Linked DNA regions of Lytechinus pictus. The protein of the gene in region 2 interacts with the protein of the main gene of each other region in a biochemical or structural test. Links are inferred from orthologs where the notes say so. Each region holds a gene or a part of one and is shown on either strand. Other genes may lie near its edges. The genes, in order: histone PARylation factor 1-like and poly [ADP-ribose] polymerase 2-like.

Evidence for each region.
Region 1: the proteins of poly [ADP-ribose] polymerase 2-like (region 2) and histone PARylation factor 1-like form a complex in vitro, tested with the Homo sapiens proteins (2 studies listed by BioGRID). The link is inferred for Lytechinus pictus from reciprocal best matches to the Homo sapiens genes PARP2 and HPF1.

The regions. Positions count from the first base shown.
Region 1 is NC_087249.1:40,173,822-40,183,535, forward strand, and holds the start of histone PARylation factor 1-like, read right to left. Parts: upstream 4,692-9,714; 5' UTR 4,259-4,691; coding exon 4,133-4,258; intron 2,937-4,132; coding exon 2,780-2,936; intron 1,718-2,779; coding exon 1,580-1,717; intron 401-1,579; coding exon 214-400; intron 1-213. Other genes in the region: kinesin-2b-like, read left to right, coding at 4,784-4,786. UniProt on the Homo sapiens protein: Cofactor for serine ADP-ribosylation that confers serine specificity on PARP1 and PARP2 and plays a key role in DNA damage response.
Region 2 is NC_087246.1:38,749,236-38,759,028, reverse strand, and holds the start of poly [ADP-ribose] polymerase 2-like, read left to right. Parts: upstream 1-5,730; 5' UTR 5,731-5,857; coding exon 5,858-5,903; intron 5,904-9,793. Other genes in the region: Bardet-Biedl syndrome 10 protein homolog, read right to left, coding at 1-398. UniProt on the Homo sapiens protein: Poly-ADP-ribosyltransferase that mediates poly-ADP-ribosylation of proteins and plays a key role in DNA repair.

The DNA.
Region 1 (9,714 bases), on a different chromosome or scaffold from region 2:
GTGGCCCCTCCGGGACAAAACCTAACATTAAATCCCATTGCAGTTCCCAAGCACCCCCATTTGCAGAGGGCCATTTAGTTCTTAAGCCCCTCATTTCATAACAACTTTACACATACCGGTAGTTCTTAATGGTATGGTACTATGGTTTGGGGCCGCACAATTATACCCTTTCCAAATACAAGTGCCCCCCCTCCCCGATAATGACTAAATTACCTATAGTATCCAATGTGGTGTTGTTTCTTCTCATCACCGACCAAGACTGTCTGAAACTCGGGTGGATCATAGAAGAATCTATGGTGTAATAAATAATTGGGTCTTTGACCTTTGACACATTTCAGCCTGCCAGCCATGACATCATACGGACCACCAAGAACCAAGCCAACGTCTTCCTTCAATGCCTCTGTAAGATAAAATTTTTAAATGTTTTTAGATGGTCAGGCTGAGGCAAACATCACAAAAATATATATAATTACTAATTTTTATGAGTGGTTATAACTGAAGACTAAATTCAAAAGATCACCAAACAGGGGCAGGAATCAATTACATTCGGCATAGCACAGTCATATAATTAGTTGTTTTATACATTTAAACCTGACTAAAACTTTGGTAAAGGTTCAATCATACATCATCTAATATTCAAATCAATTTTAGTGGCGATCAGAACTCTTTTAAGCCAATGATTCTTTGTTAAACTTTACATGTGATTTCTTTTTAAATATCCAGTGCTCTTTCTTCACAATGTTTTATTGTTTGAAGGGCCTTTCGAGCAGCAATTTTCCAAATTTAGTGATTGGATATCAGAAAAATGAAAGAAAAAATGGTTTGTTTGTTTATCTTCAAAGATAAGTATGAGACTTTCTTGTGTATCATCTCTATTGCCATTTAACAAATAATTACACAATTATGGTATAAGTGAAGAAAATAGTTTTTACTGACTTTATGGTACATGACTTGAGATCTTTTCATCTGGTACATTTCATTAGCATGTTAAGAATAATTCCTTTTATTACAAAATTAATGCCACACTTGAATGATTCAGAAAAAAACGACTAAAATCAATTTACCAAAAAAATCAATGATTTGTGTATTGTGACAATAGATAAGGCCAGTGAGGGTACATGAACTCTTGAAGTTTAAGTGAACAATTTTCAAATATATACAGGTGGTCATTATAAAAGCAGGTTATCACATCGGCCGGTACAGAATATTGTTGAAATATTTCCCTCACTGCTGATCAAATTTGAGAAGTAAAATTCCCCTGACTTGATAATAATAATAAGAAATAAACACAACATCAAAAGAAAGTCACCCCTAACCCCTAAAGAACCCATCAAATCCTCCAATATAAAAACCCCCATAATTTGTGTTCATGTTGTGCTCTCACAGCCATTAACTCACTGATGTCACTCACTTTTTGAGAATCTGCTCTCTAACAACCCTGGCTATATATCCCAGGCTTAATTTCAAATTAGTTATACTGGAAGATTTGATGGGGTTCTTTTGGGGGAAACTTACTTTTGATGTTGTGTAGAGTTTGTTCATATTCAAATATAAGATATGATTTTTATGATCAACTTACCAGAAGGTTTAGCATTATTGATGCTCTTACAGTAATCCCAGAAATCAAAGAAATCTGGTGGCATCTCAACTTTGAACTTTAACCTCAGTTCCTCTTTGATGTCAATATTTGGAGGAGTACTAGGTATTTCATCAGCATCTAAGAAATGAATGAAAGTTGCATCAAATTAAAAAAAAGTGATATTACAATATTCTTTTTTCTAGGCCTACATGCAATTTATCTCTCTTTTTTGTATGTTGATTGCTTAATAATACTCTACAGGGAATGTGAAATGACAAAAAATATCAATCAGTTCAGACATCTTACACATCTTGTATCTAAATGCACACCAATCAAACCTATAATGACACTTAATATCATTCATTAAAAAAAATATAAGTTGTTTAATGGAGCTATATACCATACTGAATAAGAAATAAACAATTGGTTTAATTCTGCACCCCTCCTAGTTTATGAATGACCAACTTCTTGTCCATTTTCTTAATAAGACAAATATACATGTACATGTAGTAGATCTCATTATCATTTGATGAAATTAATTCAATTCAATTCAATTCATTTATTTCACTCGATAAAAATAACATATATACAGGTAAATAAGAAATACATGACAAGAACAAAACAAAGTAACAAAAAATGATAATACAGTAAATAGTGTACGAAACAGGCTTTGAGTGTGGACTGGCATTAAAGATCTGTTGGATCTTAGAAGTTCCAGCCCAGTAAAGAAAGAAAAACAAGGGATACAACCTCTGATGCTGTTTCTTTGTTTATCAGGGTCTTAATTGCAAAACAATTTGCAATAAAATGTAACTTGATTCTCAAGAAATCATAAGCATGCATTATGAGACTGTAATTGAATACAAGGCCAATATTAAACTTTTTCATGAGTAGCTACCTGAAAGTGATATATGTGATACCTATCCCCTTGTCTATTTTACAGCTAATCTTCATGAAGATTCTTCTAATTAATTCTAAATTCATTTCATATTTGTTTCAAAACATACCTCTTGGAGAAATACCTGCGCCCTGCAGCCCCTTCCCCACCTAGCCAGGAGGCTCATAGAGAGTAAAAATCATTCACTTAATAAACGTAAGAGTAAACTATCGTTAGTGAATGATTTTTACTCTCTAGTCTATAGGAGCCTCCTGGCCTGCCTATCCAGGATCCTTGCCCCCATCCTATAGTGATGCAGTTACCTTCATTTTCAAGAGGACATGTTTCTTGTAAATCTTCTTGAATTTCTTCAGTTTCGAGATCTTGTACTTCAGTTTCGCTAGAATTTTGATCCTGATCCTGCTTTTCAGAACCTGTCAACTTTTGACGTTTGGAGGGTTGACTTGCCAAATCCTGATCCTGTAACATTAAAATTGAAAAGAATACAAGATTTGTCATGATTTATCATTTGATTCACAATAGAGCAAGCAAAATTGCAAATGACAAGAATTTGGACAGTGAATTAGCATCATAGGCATAGTGACGTACACCTGGTGACGTAAGAAAATTAGCTCAAAGGCAAATTTTATAAACTCGACATCACTACACCATCATTACCTCGGGCGAAGTTCGTGCAGGCTCCACTCCACTTCACTACCGCTACACTACGCTCCACCTACCCGAACTTTGGGACGGTGAACTCGATCGGATATTCCGAGTGACGAAGGTGGGATCAAAAACTGGTTTATTGTAAAAATTAAAGAAAAAAAAAAAAAAATAGAAAGAAAAATAGCTTAATTTCTTACTCTTTACCCTTATTTCACTCCGTGTCCATCCTCCGGTTATCCTCAAAATTTGTGATTTTGGGCCAGTATCAAATTCCTCACACGTATTATTCACGGCCGATTTCAAAACATTGCATGCAACGAACGTAGAGGGCAGAAAAGCCAGAAACACACATCAGTGTTGCTATTAGGAAGGTCCACTCGATACGCGCATACAATGTTTTGAAATCGGCCGTGAATAATACATGTGAGGAATTTGATTATGGCCCAGAATCACCAATTTTGAGGATAACCGGAGGATGGACACGGAGTGAAATAAGGGTGAAGAGTAAGAAATTAAGCTCTTTTTCTTTCTCGTTATATTTTTTTTCTTTAATTTTTACAATAAACCAGTTTTTGATCCCACCTTTGTCACTTGGAATATCCGATTGAGTTCACCGTCCCGAAGTTCGGGTAGGTGGAGCGTAGTGTGGCGGTAGTGAAGTGGAGCTTGCACAAACTTCGCCCGAGGTACACCATCATCAGACTATCCACACTGTGCAGACCTGTCCTGACATTTTAAGCAAACCTGAAACCAATTTAAAAAAATATATAAATATTCAATGATGAATATTTGACGGAATAAAGCCATATATGTATTTCCACTTCCCCATCATATATGTTCGATATTAGGCCAGGGCTAGATATATTATTCTGAACCTTCTCCATGTTTTTATTTTCAATTTTTAGTGGGGGGTGCATATGGAACTCTTAGTCTCTTACCAATATGTAACTTATTGATGTTCATCTTAATTTTTAATCTTAATCGAAATCAAATGTTATCTTTCTTACCGATTCATCATCTTCATTCGTGTCATTTGCATTTGTTTTCCTTCCTGGATGATTAAATTTCTTGAGATGTTCCTCACTCTTCCTGTAGCATTTTGTCCCATATTTGCAGTCATGATTCGACGCCATGTTCTAAAGATAAGCTGTAAACTCGTCTTCGATTTCGTTTTAGGTCTACATAGAACCTAGATAAATCTAGATAGTATCAGAGGCTAAAGACAATTGAGTCTAATTTCCTTCTAACATTTTGCATTTGCATTGCATTTGGTTGATTTCACGTTGTTTACAAGTGTGCGGCGCGCGCAATATTCATACTATAGGAACGTTTGAAGGATTACGTAGTAATCTAATTTTACACTGTTCATTATTTATTGATTTCAACCACAAAAAAATAATTACTGGATATTTCGAATACTATAATATTACAATCGAAATGTCTTTTTGTTAAAAATATATAAATACAAATGAAGAATACTACCAAAGGACGTGCAAAAACATATCACAAAGTCTTGGAAAAGGTCGCAAGATCTTTATGGTCACCTGATCAAATCCCAGATCGAATGACGTCAGAGTTGCTTGGTTTCTGACAACAGTTTATCGAGGATCCGGAAAAAAGGAGTAAATCTTCATCAAATTCTTGTATAGTCACGCAACATGGTTCGTATTTTAATTGGTTTCATGTGAATTTTACACGTTAGTAGATTTAGGATTGTGATAGTAATGAAAGTAGGACTACTGCTTGTTCTGATTTTTTTAACGTGCATATCGGCCATGGCATTGGCATTGCATTGCCGAATTGCATCGCGATGCGATGTGAACTTAATTAATTGGCATTATACCGTGGCCTGGCATTGCATGCAGAGAGCCGAGTGTGAATAATGCTGAGTGAGAGAGGAGGGGTTGACCAGGCGCGGATGGGGGGGGGGGGGGGTGATCACAAAAGTCAAAATTGCAACAAATGACAATGTCAAAGAGAGAGAAAGAAGAAAAGAGACTTACTCTCAGAGAAAAAAGAGAAGAATTTCAGAATCAGAGAGTGTTTTACTTAGCCAATAATAGGGTGTCTGGAGAAAAAAATTATTTTTCTTATTTCAAGAAAATATCACGTTTTCTTTGTGAATTTGAAGAGAAATGACCTTCAGACTGACAGAAATGTAAAATTTTTGAAAAAAATCCAATTATTGGCTGCAAAAAAGAAGAATGAAATTAGGTAAATTTTCAGCATTTCTCTGCCATAGACTGTGTAGTTAAGAAATGGACACACACAAATCCAAATTTTTAGCTTCCGAGAGCTGTTATAAATTTATTATTAATGCCAAAAACTTGTCCATAAAGAGTCCAATAGGATTTTTTATGCTCTATCTGATGGTATGATTTTTATAAAGATTTGGAAACCAGATCACAATGAAAAATTGCGACAAAATGAAAAAAATTGTGCAAAACAGAAATTTCATTTTCCCATAGAAAACGCATGGAGAAATGGCAATCTCAACACACACAAAAATAAGGGTTTGCAATTTATCTCTAAATCCTTATTTAAAATGATCATATAAACTTGTCCTTACTGTCAAAAGAAGCCCCTGAATTTTCTCTTTCCATACATGCCAAACACAAGTTAATAATCAATTCAGATCACATTTTTCTAGTAGCCTGAACTTCCCCGAAAAAATATGCCATATTTTCCCCTAAATTAGCCTGTTTTATGCTGACACTTTTCAGTGTGGCTTCAGACACCCTACCAATAATGCCATGCCATGGTATTACTATAGTAAGCTTGTAACCGATTTTGCAATCGGCAACCGATTCCATTCGATTTCACCACAATCGGCAATCACTTGCCGATCTTCGATCATGCCCCTTGAAGGAAAAAAATCGAAAATAAAAAATCGGCGTAGATCTGGTTACAGTGCGTGATCGCTCAGAACATATTTCAAGATTGTTTTTGAGGTGCTAGCTATTTAGAGGTCGCATTATTCAGGGAGAAAGACGCGGTATTATCTATGGCGATGTTTAAGAGGATAGATATCTTCTCTTCCAACTCATGGTGATAGCGGATGCCGCCGTGAACTTTGAAAGGTCGTATTACCGACGGAGCTCACTGCGTTACTCTCTTACATCGTTTATGATTATATACATTTTATTTTCAACCTCGTGGTGATAGCGGATGCCGCCGTGAACTTTGAAAGGTCGTATTACCGACGGAGCTCACTGCGCTACTCTCATACCCCCTTTATAATGATATAAATATTCTCTTCAACCTCGTGGTGATAGCGGACCCCGCCATAAACTTTTAAAGACTGTACTATTGACGGAGCTTATTGAGTTACTCTCTTACATCGTTTATGATGATATACATTTTATTTTCAACCTCGTGGTGATAGCGGATGCTGCCGTGAACTTTGAAAGGTCGTATTACCGACGGAGCTCATTGTGTTACTCTCTTACATCGTTTATGATGATATTCATTTTATTTTCAACCTCGTGGTGATAGCGGAAGCCGCCGTGAACTTTGAAAGGTCGTATTACCGACGGAGCTCACTGCGCTACTCTCTTACCCCCTTTATAATGATATAAATCTTCTCTTCAACCTCGTGGTGATAGCGGACCCCGCCATAAACTTTTAAAGACTGTACTATTGACGGAGCTTATTGCGTTGCTCTCTTACATCGTTTATGATGATATTCATTTTATTTTCAACCTCGTGGTGATAGCGGAAGCCACCGTGAACTTTGAAAGGTCGTATTACCGACGGAGCTCACTGCGCTACTCTCTTACCCCCTTTATAATGATATAGATATTCTCTTCAACCTCGTGGTGATAGCGGACCCCGCCATAAACTTTTAAAGACTGTACTATTGACGGAGCTTATTGCGTTGCTCTCTTACATCGTTTATGATGATATTCATTTTATTTTCAACCTCGTGGTGATAGCGGAAGCCGCCGTGAACTTTGAAAGGTCGTATTACCGACGGAGCTCACTGCGCTACTCTCTTACCCCCTTTATAATGATATAAATATTCTCTTCAACCTCGTGGTGATAGCGGACCCCGCCATAAACTTTTAAAGACTGTACTATTGACGGAGCTTATTGAGTTACTCTCTTACATCGTTTATGATGATATACATTTTATTTTCAACCTCGTGGTGATAGCGGATGCCGCCGTGAACTTTGAAAGGTCGTATTACCGACGGAGCTCACTGCGCTACTCTCTTACCCCCTTTATGATGATAGACATCTTCTCTTCAACCTCGTGGTGATAGCGGACCCCGCCGTGAACTTCAAATTGATTTGAAAACGCTAGCTACCCAAAACATTTTAATAACATATTTCAAATCATCGTGCGTGCTTGCGTCTTTTACTTCATTTTAATTGCACTTGCGACTTTAAGATGATGCGTCGTAAGAGATCATTCCAATAATTCTAAATCGCTAGCACCTAAAAATACTTCTAAAAGATGTCCCGCCGATCGTTCATTAACCTGTGATCTATGAGAAATATTTTCATTTTATTTTCCTTTGCGCCTTTGCTCGGAAGATGCGTCTTTCGTTTATCTTTCTAATAACAATCACTCGGTTTATTTTAAAGCAATAACACCTCAAAACCCCTGGCTTTAAAACATGTTCCAAACGATCGCGCATGTTGGCGACTTCCATTCCAATGCATTCGTCTTTGTGACTTTGTCAGGAAGATGCGCGCGACCGCGAAACACATTTTGATGTATTCCTTTGTTTTTAAACATCGCCGATTCGATTTTCGATTCGATTTCGATTTTAGAAGCTTAACTGCCGATCCGATTTTCGATCTGATTTTTGATCCGATTTACAACATTATACTATAGTATAGTAGGCCTACCCCCTTTACCTTTAGTAAACTTCAACATGTTCAAGGCCTTCTTTTGGGGGGGGGGGTCTTGTCAAGTACGATCCGAGGCCCTGCTTGGGACAATTTCCATAAGACAACTTCCATGATTGTCATAACTGGTCATTATCGTGAAATTGGGAACCACCGTTCACTTTGTACAGTAGCGCTTTATTCATTCACACGCACGGTTCCCTATTTTCACCTCCATTCACAGGCGCGCATGCGTATATAAATCGACAAGTGGTTCCTGAAACCACGATTTGGCCCATTACTGTCACCATGCTCATAATAGATGTCTGTAGATGTGTATTCATGATCATGGTATCCCTCTGACTTTTTCAATATTTTTTCAGGTCAAGATATAAAAAATAATTGACTGTGTTGTAATTTGGTGACTAGAATATATAAATTGTATCATTGTAAGTTCTAAAGCAGGCTGGGGAAGGAAAGGAAGGGGAAAAAAGACAGTTGAAGAGAAAGAAAACAAAATTTAAAGGAGAAATATTGAGAAGAAGAAATGAATCGGGTTATTAAAAAGAAATAAGAAAAGTATAATTATTTGTAAGAAGAAAAGAAGATGGAAGTTGGGGGGTAGGGATGATATGATTGTAAAGAAGGAGAAAGAAGGATATTAAAGTAAGGAAATCTTCTGAGTTGATCAATGCTTTGAATTCATTAAATGAAAATCATAACAAATGTTGATTTTAATTGCAATTACATTCCATTTCTTTTGATTGTGAAATAAATTTCTGATTATAGAAAGTAAATCAGAATGATTCAATGTGCAATACAAGTAAAACCACTTTACATCATTGCATTAAAAAATTAGATTAAAAAACTATAATAATTACTTTACTCTGTCACCTGTCTTTCTGAGAAGCTTACTTTGCAAGTACTCCAAAAATATTTGTAGAACAATTGACATCAATGGCATGATTAGAAAAATTGAGATTCACAGTGAATATGGGCAGGGTCATTGTCGCCATGACCATTGTATTTATTTGTCAAATTTCTGTGTGAGCTCTATATATCGCAAATACGGATGAAGCGGTGGGTTCGGGGGATACATGTGCTCGGCTGCGCGACCTGCCGAGCATCTCTAATTCAAATATTACCTTATAATTAATTCAATTTAGAGTCCACAAAGAATGAAAGTTTGTATTAATGTAAGAAGATTGATAGAAAAATTTAGAAATGTAGCTATATGGAGCAAGATATTAAATGAAATATGAAAACCACCACCACCATCATCATCATCATCTGATTCAGAAAAATAACATAACTTATAAAGTTGTGAACAGTATTCAGATGGACTTCTGATGATTAATTGACATTAAATCTGCAGTTAAGTTGTTTTAATGAAAACTCGAAATGTTATTGTTAATTATTTAGTAGCTTGAGATTTCAGGGAATTGTTAGTGGTTTTGATATGTTTTCACTTCTAATTTGTTCTATTGAAATGAATTAAAAGGTTTACTTAGTAATCACTGTATATATGTAACTATTTTCTTCTTTTTTCTAATTAAGTATTTTAAGCATGAATATCACTTGTAAGTTGTAACATGTATTATAGTTTTGGGAGTTGGCAAGCAATATTTAGTAAACAGGTTTATTATTCGTATATTGAGTGATTATCTGCAGTCAGATGCTCACTTTGCCAAACCTTTTAACTTCTCTTCCCTTGTTGTTTTTAAGAAGAGTGGGAAGATTAAGATCCAAACTT
Region 2 (9,793 bases):
AAGATATCCTGCTTTACAACATTGAGTGCTCGGACAAGTTGTATGACTTGTTCTCTTATAACGGTTTTGCATCTCAGATCCGGACCATGCAAAGAAGTGGTTATCTGATGGGAAATATCCTCCACCATTTTATTCATAATAAAAATAAATGACTTTGTGTGGTTCCCTGTTTGGTGAGCAAAAGTTACGACTCTATCAATCAGCCAACGACCAATGGGATGAGACACATGCAGAGCTCCAAGAATTGATCTCCCATCACTTGTCAGCAAAACCTTTCCTGTGGAGGTGGTGTACATCACTAGCTGAGCATTTGGCCCAAAAGACTTCCCAATGAGACTGGTCAATGATGAACATATAGCCAGAGAAGACTGGATATTAACAGGAATCTGATTTGCCATGATGTTCAATATTCTGTGGATGTAAACAAAATTATGATCATTTTATAAGAAAAAAATCCTTTGGTAAATTAATACAAGAAATTGGTAGGGTAGCTTGTGGGCAAATACTTTAACTTTTACTGTACATACAGGTTTTTTATTGCCTAAAGCCCCTTTCCCAATTGGTGGTGCGACTGCTTACAGCGGTCGTGAATCCGATCGCACAAGCAATTGTGAAAGCCCCTTTAGATGGGTATCACTGGAAAATCTATGGATATTCTGTAAAGTAGGATGACTTTCCACTCTTTGAATGATGAAAATCTGATTTAAATGAAAAATATGTTTGTAAGATCCCAGTCCATTCATTTACACAGAATTTCAGGCAGCACAACTTGGGTCTCATAGTACCAGGAACACAAACAACCCAACCCAAATGGGAAACTCCTTTTCCCATAAGGCTTCTGTTCTTTGGAATCAGCTACCACTTGAAACAAGGATTTCAAATTCTATTTTCAAAGCAACACTGGAGACTTACATGTACTTCTATTTTGTTTTATCAATGTCTATTTGTTTATAAACGGAATAATTTTTTATTGCACTACGGTCATCCATTAAAAAATATCATATTCCTTTACCAGTTCTATCATAGAGCCGAGTTATTTGGACCGATTTCACAGCCTGGGGGAGGGGGATGAATTCCCCCCCCCCCCCCGAGCCGAGATCCTGGCCATACATTGTGCGACTGCCGCAAAAATTTGCACAAGGGTAGTGTGCGATGAAATCTACAAGACTGTATGTTTATTATTTATGAAATATTAGGATTTTTTATATGAATTAATTATGCTATTTATGTGTAAAATAATAAATTTGCTCTAATTACCTAAATACAGCCCCCAAACTGGGAGAAAAAGAGGGAGAAAGAAAGAAACATAGTAGAGAAAGAAGAAATTATTGTAAACCCCTCAAAAAAAATTTGGTAATCTAAATTTGATTGGTAATCCCTCCTCGGTTTTTGTGAATATTAATGTGAAATTGATACCAATAAAAAGATAATTTAATTGTCTTTAAAATGATACCCTACATGATATCGTGCTGTAGAGGGGAGCAACACACGACCGTGTTGTTAAAATAAAACATGATGAGTGCGTGTGAATGTTTTCGATATGGCCGACGTTGACCCTATACGTACCCCGCCGGGCGGTAAGGGCCAGGGGTACGATCGAGTTTGATAAAGTCAAGATGTGTGGATTGTCATGATTGTAGTGAAGTGAGATCGTGTTTTGTGGCCATTTAATAATCGTATTTTGTTGAGATTTTGGAGTAATTTTTGTTGCTGTTCTATGTATTCTGAGGAAAACTATGTTTTCTGTGATTTTCCGTTTGAAATGCCACTTTCCATTTCAAAAGGCCATTTCTGTGAATTCAGTCCGTTTTCCGCGATCACGGAAAATCACTGTCCCTAAAAATGTCTTTATTAGGTCAGTATACTCAAAATTTTTGTTGGTGCCCCCCCAATGCTGTGACCCATGGAACGCCACTGCCTAACAATAAGCAAAAGGAAAGTGGGGATGTGACATCATCAGCCCACCTAATGAATATTCATGATGACGTACATGGAACTAATGGAACTATTTTCACAAAACATTGCTAAACTTTAAAATGCAATAAATTTGTTATTTATTGTCCGATTTTGATGAAATTTTCAGCTTTTTAAGTCTGAGAATTCAAACAATGAAATCAAGATCTAAGCAGAAATAAAGCCATTCTAGTTGTTTTCTTATTCCAGCTTTTGCTTCGAGCCGTTTAGAGTCTTGTGAATTGTGATCGGTGCAAACTTTTAATGTGAAGAGAGATGCCTGTGTGCGTGTGATGCCGCGATGCTTCATCTAATTTTTACGCTTGACAATGTTTCACTTTGAAATTTTATTCATTTCTAAAACATTTTAGTTTTCTAACAATATTTAAAAATATAAATTAAAAAAAAATGTATCGGTAAATTTTGTTAGATGACTGAATTTTAATTTGTTTGCTTGAAGTTTGAAGTTTTTTCTTTCTTTTTTTCCTTCTTTCTTCTATCCTTCCTGCTTGCCTTTTTGTTCCATCTCTCTTTATTTCCTATCTTTCCTAGCTTTCTTTCCTGATCTATTCTCTCTCTGTTCATTTTTCTTCCTTTCCTTCCTTATTTCCTTTCTCTTTCTTTCCTTAAAATTTTCTTTGCTCCCTTCCCTCTTCCTCGGGCTACTTTTTTTTTTTCTTTCTGTCTTACCTTCTTTCTTCTTTCCTTCCTCCATTCTTTTCTTGCTTTCATTCTCTTTGCTTAATTCTTTCCTTCCTTCTTTTTCTTTTCCCTTATTCTTTCTTTCTTTCATTAATAATTCATAATTCTATCCTTCCTGATTTTTCTTTTTCTTTATTTCTTCATCCTTCTATCCTTCCTGAATTCCTTTTGTCCATTCTATCTATCTCTAGCAGGGTGACCAGACGTCCCGTATTTCCCGGGATCGTCCCGTATTTTGCTCCTTTGTCCCGACAAACCCTTCCCGGGACGCCTATTTGTCCCGTATTTCAGAATATTGAACAAAATATAGTTAATACATTTAAAAGTGACAAATTTTCATCAAATAATCAACAGATGACGAAGCAGAGACAACTAAAAATCGATAACTGTAAACTTTTGCAATTTCTGTGGTGATTTTCTTGCTAACCCACAGTGCAAACGAACATGGCCTCCTGCCTGTGTGTGGCAGGTTAACGCGGCTAGGCATGTAGGATCGGAGCAGATTCTCAATGGTGCAAACAATCTCACATGATAAACAGTTTTTCCACCAAAACAATCACAGAATCGGCAGGATTTTTTTAATGATTATATGGATTCTCAGATTACTGATTTGGAGATGTAATCGGAGGAACAAGTTACTGAGTTATAGTTGTTTCAACTTTCGTTTTGAGTCCTGTTGTGATCGGTGCGAACTTGTAATGGGATGCCTGTGTACGATGCCGTGATGTTTCATCTAATTTTTGAAGTTTGACAATGTTTCACTTTGAAATTTTATTCATTTCTAAAACATTTTTTTTTACATATTAAAAACACCAAATATCAGTATTATTTTTGTTAGATTGGATTTTTTTGGTTTGCTTCAAGTTTGTAACTTGTTTACTCTGTCTTTCTTTTCTATCCTTCTTTTTTCATTCTTCTATCCTTCCTGCTTTCCCTTTTTTTTCCATCTATCTTTCTTTCCTGATCCTTTCTCTCTCTCTATCTTTTCATTTTTCTTTCTTTCCTTCTTTTTAAATTTCTTTTATATTTCCTTAAATTTTTCTTTGCTTCTCATTTCCCTTTCTCTCCTTTTTATTTTTGTTCTTTCTCTCCTCCCATTATTTTCTTTTTTTCATTCCCTCCTCCCTTTCCAATCTCATTCCTCCCTCTCTGTCATTCTTTACTTTATTTTTTCCTTCTAATGCTTTTCCATTATTCATTCTTTCCCTTCATCCTAATTCCTTCCTTCCTGTTTTTCTTCTTTCTTTCTTTTAAAGAATGAAGGAAACATTTTTCTTTCCTTCATTCTTTTCTCCTTATTTCTTTCTTTTAGTTTCTCTCCTATTCTTTTTCTTTCACACATTTATTAATCTTCCTTTTTTTTTCTTTCTTTCTATATTCATTTCAAAGAATGACAGAAACCTTTTTTTCTCTCTTTTATTCTTTCTTTCATCAATCTTTTATACTATTACTAGCTTTCTTTTAATTTCATTTTTTTTTCTTTCTTCTCAATTCATCACTTTTCTTTCTCTCCTTCATTCTTTTGTTCACCCTCCCTTCCAATTCTTTTTTTTTCACAAGTAGTAACACTGTGTAGCCTCCTTTGTAGATTTTTTATTTTATTTTAAGACCTGGCTCTGTCGATCCGTTCATGCAGAGTGCTTTGCCAATTGTCCTGTATTTCATTTTGTGAAATCTGGTCACCCTGATCTCTAGTGTATTTCTTATAATTTCCTGGCCTTCCTTTCTGTGTTCATTTATTTTCTTCATTCTTTGCTTCATGTCCCTCGTTCTTTTTTTCTTTCCTACTTTCTTTCTTTTCTTCATATTTTCTTCCATTAAATTGTTCTTTGCTTTCTTCTCCCTTCCTCTCCTTTTCATTCATTTTTCTCCTTCCATTATTTTTTTTTTCATGCTCTCCTCCCTTCATTCTTTCCTCCCTCTTTCATTCTTTTTTTTCCTTCTTCCTTTCCCCTTATTCTTTTTTCCTTCATTGCTATTCCCTTCTTTCCTCCCTGCTTTTCTTCTTTCATTCTTTCAATGAATTTACATTTTTCTTTCCTTCATTCTTACTTTCATCCTTTTTTCTTACTTTTTTTTCCTATGATTTCTTTCATTCTTCTTTTCATTTTGTTACTTTATTTTCTTTACAGTTCATTTTTTCAGCAGAGACCTAGTAATATGTCTGTTCGAAAATGTTTAAAGTTTTTGTTCAACTTATTTCTTTATTTCTGCATCAATTATGTTCATACTTATTTTAAAAAATGGTCCTTATTGATAATCAATCATGTTTAATCATACATGAAAAAACAGCAAGAGCTGGAAAAATCATGTTTACAAGTTGAAGTTGGTGTTGGCACAATTAAATACACAGTAAAAACCATAGTAAAATGCATTAAGAAGGCTATACATTTAAAAGTTAATACAATTTAGATAAAGCAAAATGCAATAGAAAGTCATTTGGAAAAAATACAAGCGAAGTTTCATCAATTTTAGAAATTTAGTACACAAAATGTTAAACATTTATTTTTAGTAGTTTGGTCTTTGGAAATATTATAGTATACAGAACAAAATAGAAGATGATTACAACTATTGAATTAATGTTTTAGTGTAGTCCAAAGACAAAAAAAGAAGGCTTCAAAAATATAAAGTGTCCGGACACCCGACCCCCATCCTATATTGCTAGCCTATATAAAGCTAACTGTTAACCTCGCACTAGTGTGAGTGACCATTACCCGCTCATGCAATCTCTCCGCACACAAATCCAGTGGGGTTATCACAAATCTGTGATGCAATCATTCGATTTGCACATGAGCTAAATCCCCGGGTAAATATCAGAGTTTTTTAGCACTGACCTCACACAACTAGTCAGGAAAGTTGCATTACGGTAGTCACACTATTCTGGCCCAATTCAGGTTTGAAGAAGCAGCATCACCATCATGACGTTGATCACAGTGTCAGTCGTCTAATTTTGATAATTACACAAACGTGTATTGACAGATTTTTTGAAGAAAACAAGTGTGTGTATGACGTCATTTACCGTAACTCAACTCGAGAATCGAGATCGAGCTAGCTAGCTTCTGATTGGTCAAATGTGCGCGCGAGCGATCGATCGAGAGCACATTATTGGAGCTCCGAATCTGGCCGCTAGCGCCTCGGCCTCGACAGCACAATTTATACAATTACAATTGTAAAAGACAAGACAAGGATTAAATATTGCAGGATGGCAAAAAGTACGAAGAAGTCGACAAAACGTGAGAACAACGCAGGTAATTATAATTAACCAGAGTAAGTTAGACACCTAAATCTTGTAGATAAGCCTTGGTAGATTTGACTAGGCGCTCTAACTTATTCTTGCTGTAGACTACCGTACACTACAATCCGAATTATTGTGTCACAGAATTTTGATGAATCCAATTAGATACGTGTGTACAAGATTTACATGCGCCCATAATGGTAATGGCCTACTAGGAAAAAGTTCCATATGCACCCCCCACCAAAAATAACAAAAGATTGTTGAGACTTCCGGGGCCTGTTGCCTGACGAGATGAGCGATACATGGGAACGTCCTAGGACCATTCTTCCTAGATATAGGAAGATTGGCGACAAATCAGCGCTTTCCGTTTCACGAAAGAGTCAGGAAAGTTTTTGCCACACGTCTTCTTAATTAAGACATTATTTTTTATCTATAAACTTCATATGTGTCGATTGAAATATATTGATACATGCTCAGAACCTGCATATAACCATAATTAAACTGCATGAACTATGTCTTTACGACTTGTCCTGTCTACTCTGAACCCTGGATGATTATTTATTATGGATACTATTGCCTTCATAATCATAGGGCTGATCTCCGAAAGCAGCGGAGGGAGAAAACCAGGAAGGAAGATAGTCAGTGTCTTAGTGATGATAGTTCAAACAATAGTATGGACGAAACAAAGTCTTATTCTAAAAAGAAGTCGTCAACTAATAAACTACATTGCCTCTGTATAAATTTTCAAAGTATCAAGAATAAAAATAGGGTGTCTGAAGCCACACTGAAAAGTGTCGGCATAAAACAGCCTGATTTAGGGGAAAATATGGCACATATTTTGGGGGAAGTTCAGGCTACTAGAAAAATGTGATCTGAATTGATTATTAACTTTTGTTTGGCATGTATGGAAAGAGAAAATTCAGGGGCTTCTTTTGACAGTAAGGACAAGTTTATATGATCATTTTACATAAGGATTTAGAGATAAATTGCAAACCCTTATTTTTGTGTGTGTTGAGATTGCCATTTCTCCATGCATTTTCTATGGGAAAATGAAATTTCTGTTTTGCACAATTTTTTTCACTTTGTCGCAATTTTTCATTGTGATCTGGTTTCCAAATCTTTATAAAAATCATACCATCAGATAGAGCATAAAAAATCCTATTGGACTCTTTATGGACAAGTTTTTGGCATTAATAATAAATTTATAACAGCTCTCGGAAGCTAAAAATTTGGATTTGTGTGTGTCCATTTCTTAACTACACAGTCTATGGCAGAGAAATGCTGAAAATTGACCTAATTTCTTTCTTCTTTTTTGCAGCCAATAATTGGATTTTTTTCAAAAATGTTACATTTCTGTCAGTCTGAAGGTCATTTGTCTTCAAAATCACAAAGAAAATGTGATATTTTCTTGAAATAAGAAAAATAATTTTCTAATAAAAAAGCAGAATGGGAAACACTGATACATATGTACCAGCCAGATGTTGTGTTCGGTATGAAAAAATTGATGGTGGGCCCCAAGTCTGGGCACCTAACAATTTGAGTTAAGATTTAACATGAATTTCTTCTTATTTCACAAAATCTTTCAGTTAATAATGTTCCTTATATTATTTTGAGTAAGTGTACCAAATTTCTCATTGAAAAATGAAAGAAAATATAGGATTTTCTTGAAAAAACCTCGGGCAGTCTTTTTCAGATTGAAAAATAAAATGGTCCCCCATGTCTGCGCACTCATTCACTTTGCACACGATTCAGGGATTTTGATGAGAAAGGCTGCATTTTGAGGCCGTCACATGAAATGCCCTAAATTCATTATTTTTTCACCATTTTGAGTCAGATTTTTTATGGATACCCGTCTATGTATTACATGTATAAAGTTCATGCTCGTTATACGTATCTTCTTTTACTAGAATCGCGCAGATACGCGTGTGCGCAGACAAGGGGGACTGCGCAGACTTGGGGGAACTTGCCATACTGAAACATGGCTGAGTCCCTCAGTGATAGATGCGGAATTCATGCCTAATGGTTATACAGTGCATAGAAAGGACAGAGAAAGCTATGCCCATGGTGGCGTTTTTCTCATGCATAAAACCAATTTGCCAATTGTGAGAATACCTGACTACAGAAATTATATGGTGTCAACTTAACCTAATACGTAGAAGACCAATTTTATTGGCTACGGTCTATAAACCTAAACACAATGATATGACTACTGTGTATTCTCTTAAAGAATCACTTGACTTGATAAATGCTCATGTTAAGCCTTATGATGTCATCATCCAAGGAGATTTTAATCAAAGTAAATTGACTGGAAAGAGGCAATTGTATTGCAAACAGGTTCAGCCTCAAAAGAAACTGCTGAAGCATTATTAGATGTTACAATTAGTAGGGACAGTGATTTTCCGCGATCGCGGAAAACGGACGGAATTCACGGAAAGGGTGTTTTGAAACGGAAAGTGTCATTTCAAACGGAAAATCACGGAAAACGTATTTTCCCTCAAAATACACAGAATAGCAACAGAAATTACTCCAAAATCACAACAAAATGATAATATTAAATGGCCACAAAACCCCAGAAAACACGATCTCACTTCGCTACTTTCATGACAATTCACACATCGTGACTGCACTCGACATCAGCACACTTGATTGTACCCCGCACCGTACCCGTACCCTGCCGCCGGCGCCGGGTTGGGCTTCACATGCACACACATATCGTTCACTGCACGGTCGTGTGTTGCTGCCCTCTACGTTTGAAGATGTAACAGCACGATATCGTGGTTTAAATCCAAGATGGCGGATTGGCAAAAGCCGTTGACTGATGATAACGATGTCCAAAAAACCCCAAAATTATCGATGAAATATCATTTCACCGTGAAATAATGCTAATAATGTGAAAGGTGAGGATGTATGCATGCTAAATGGGGTTGGAAAAATATTTTATGCACCCACATAGATCCGATTAGAACGGATTCTATTGCGTTGTTGGTACAGTAGCAGATACAAATTTTGACCAGTGCGAGTGTACGGTATTCAATGTGTAAACGGAATTGTCACTTTTCCGTGTGTACAAAGTCTATGGGGGAAACGGAATTTCCGTTTTCTGACATGCTGAAACGGAATTTGAGATTTTCTGAAACGGAAAAGGCAACTTTTTGAAACGGAAAATCACTGTCCCTAAATTAGCAATGGCTTAGAACAGTTAGTAAATAGCCCAACAAGGGAAAACAATATATTAGACCTTTTCTTTTCAAATAACATTGCTGTCGTCCAAGACGTAAATGTCATCGCAGGGCTTAGTGATCATGATATAGTAGAATCAAGTATCAATGTTAAAGTAAGAAGGAATTGTAAACCTAAACGAGCAATTTTCCAAAGACAGAAAGCTGATGAGGAAAGAATTAAAGAAAGAATAAACCAGTTTTGTAAGAAGTACAGGGAAAGTTTTATGAACTGCTCAACGCAGGATAAATGGGATAATTTGGAAAAAGAGCTGAAATCCATAATGAAGGACCATGTACAAGTAAAGTTGGCTTCTAATAGACGAAATTTACCATGGTTCACAAGAACACACAGGAGAATGTGTAGGAAAAAACAAAGATTGTATAATAAAGCAAAGAGATCTGGTTTGCCCAAAGATTGGGATATCTTCAAAAAGTTTTGCAATGTAATTAGAAAAGAATTAAATAAATCTAAATCAGAGTATATAACAGACAATTTACTAATGTCATTAAAAGAAAACCCAAAGGTTTTTTGGTCTATATTTGCAAAATTAAAGAAAGAAAGTACTGGTATTGATGACTTTCTAATCAATAATAAAATAATAAGTGCTGATAAAGAGAAAGCTGTGCTTCTTAGCAAGGTATTTGTTAGCAACTTCACAAAAGAAGATGTAACAAATGTACC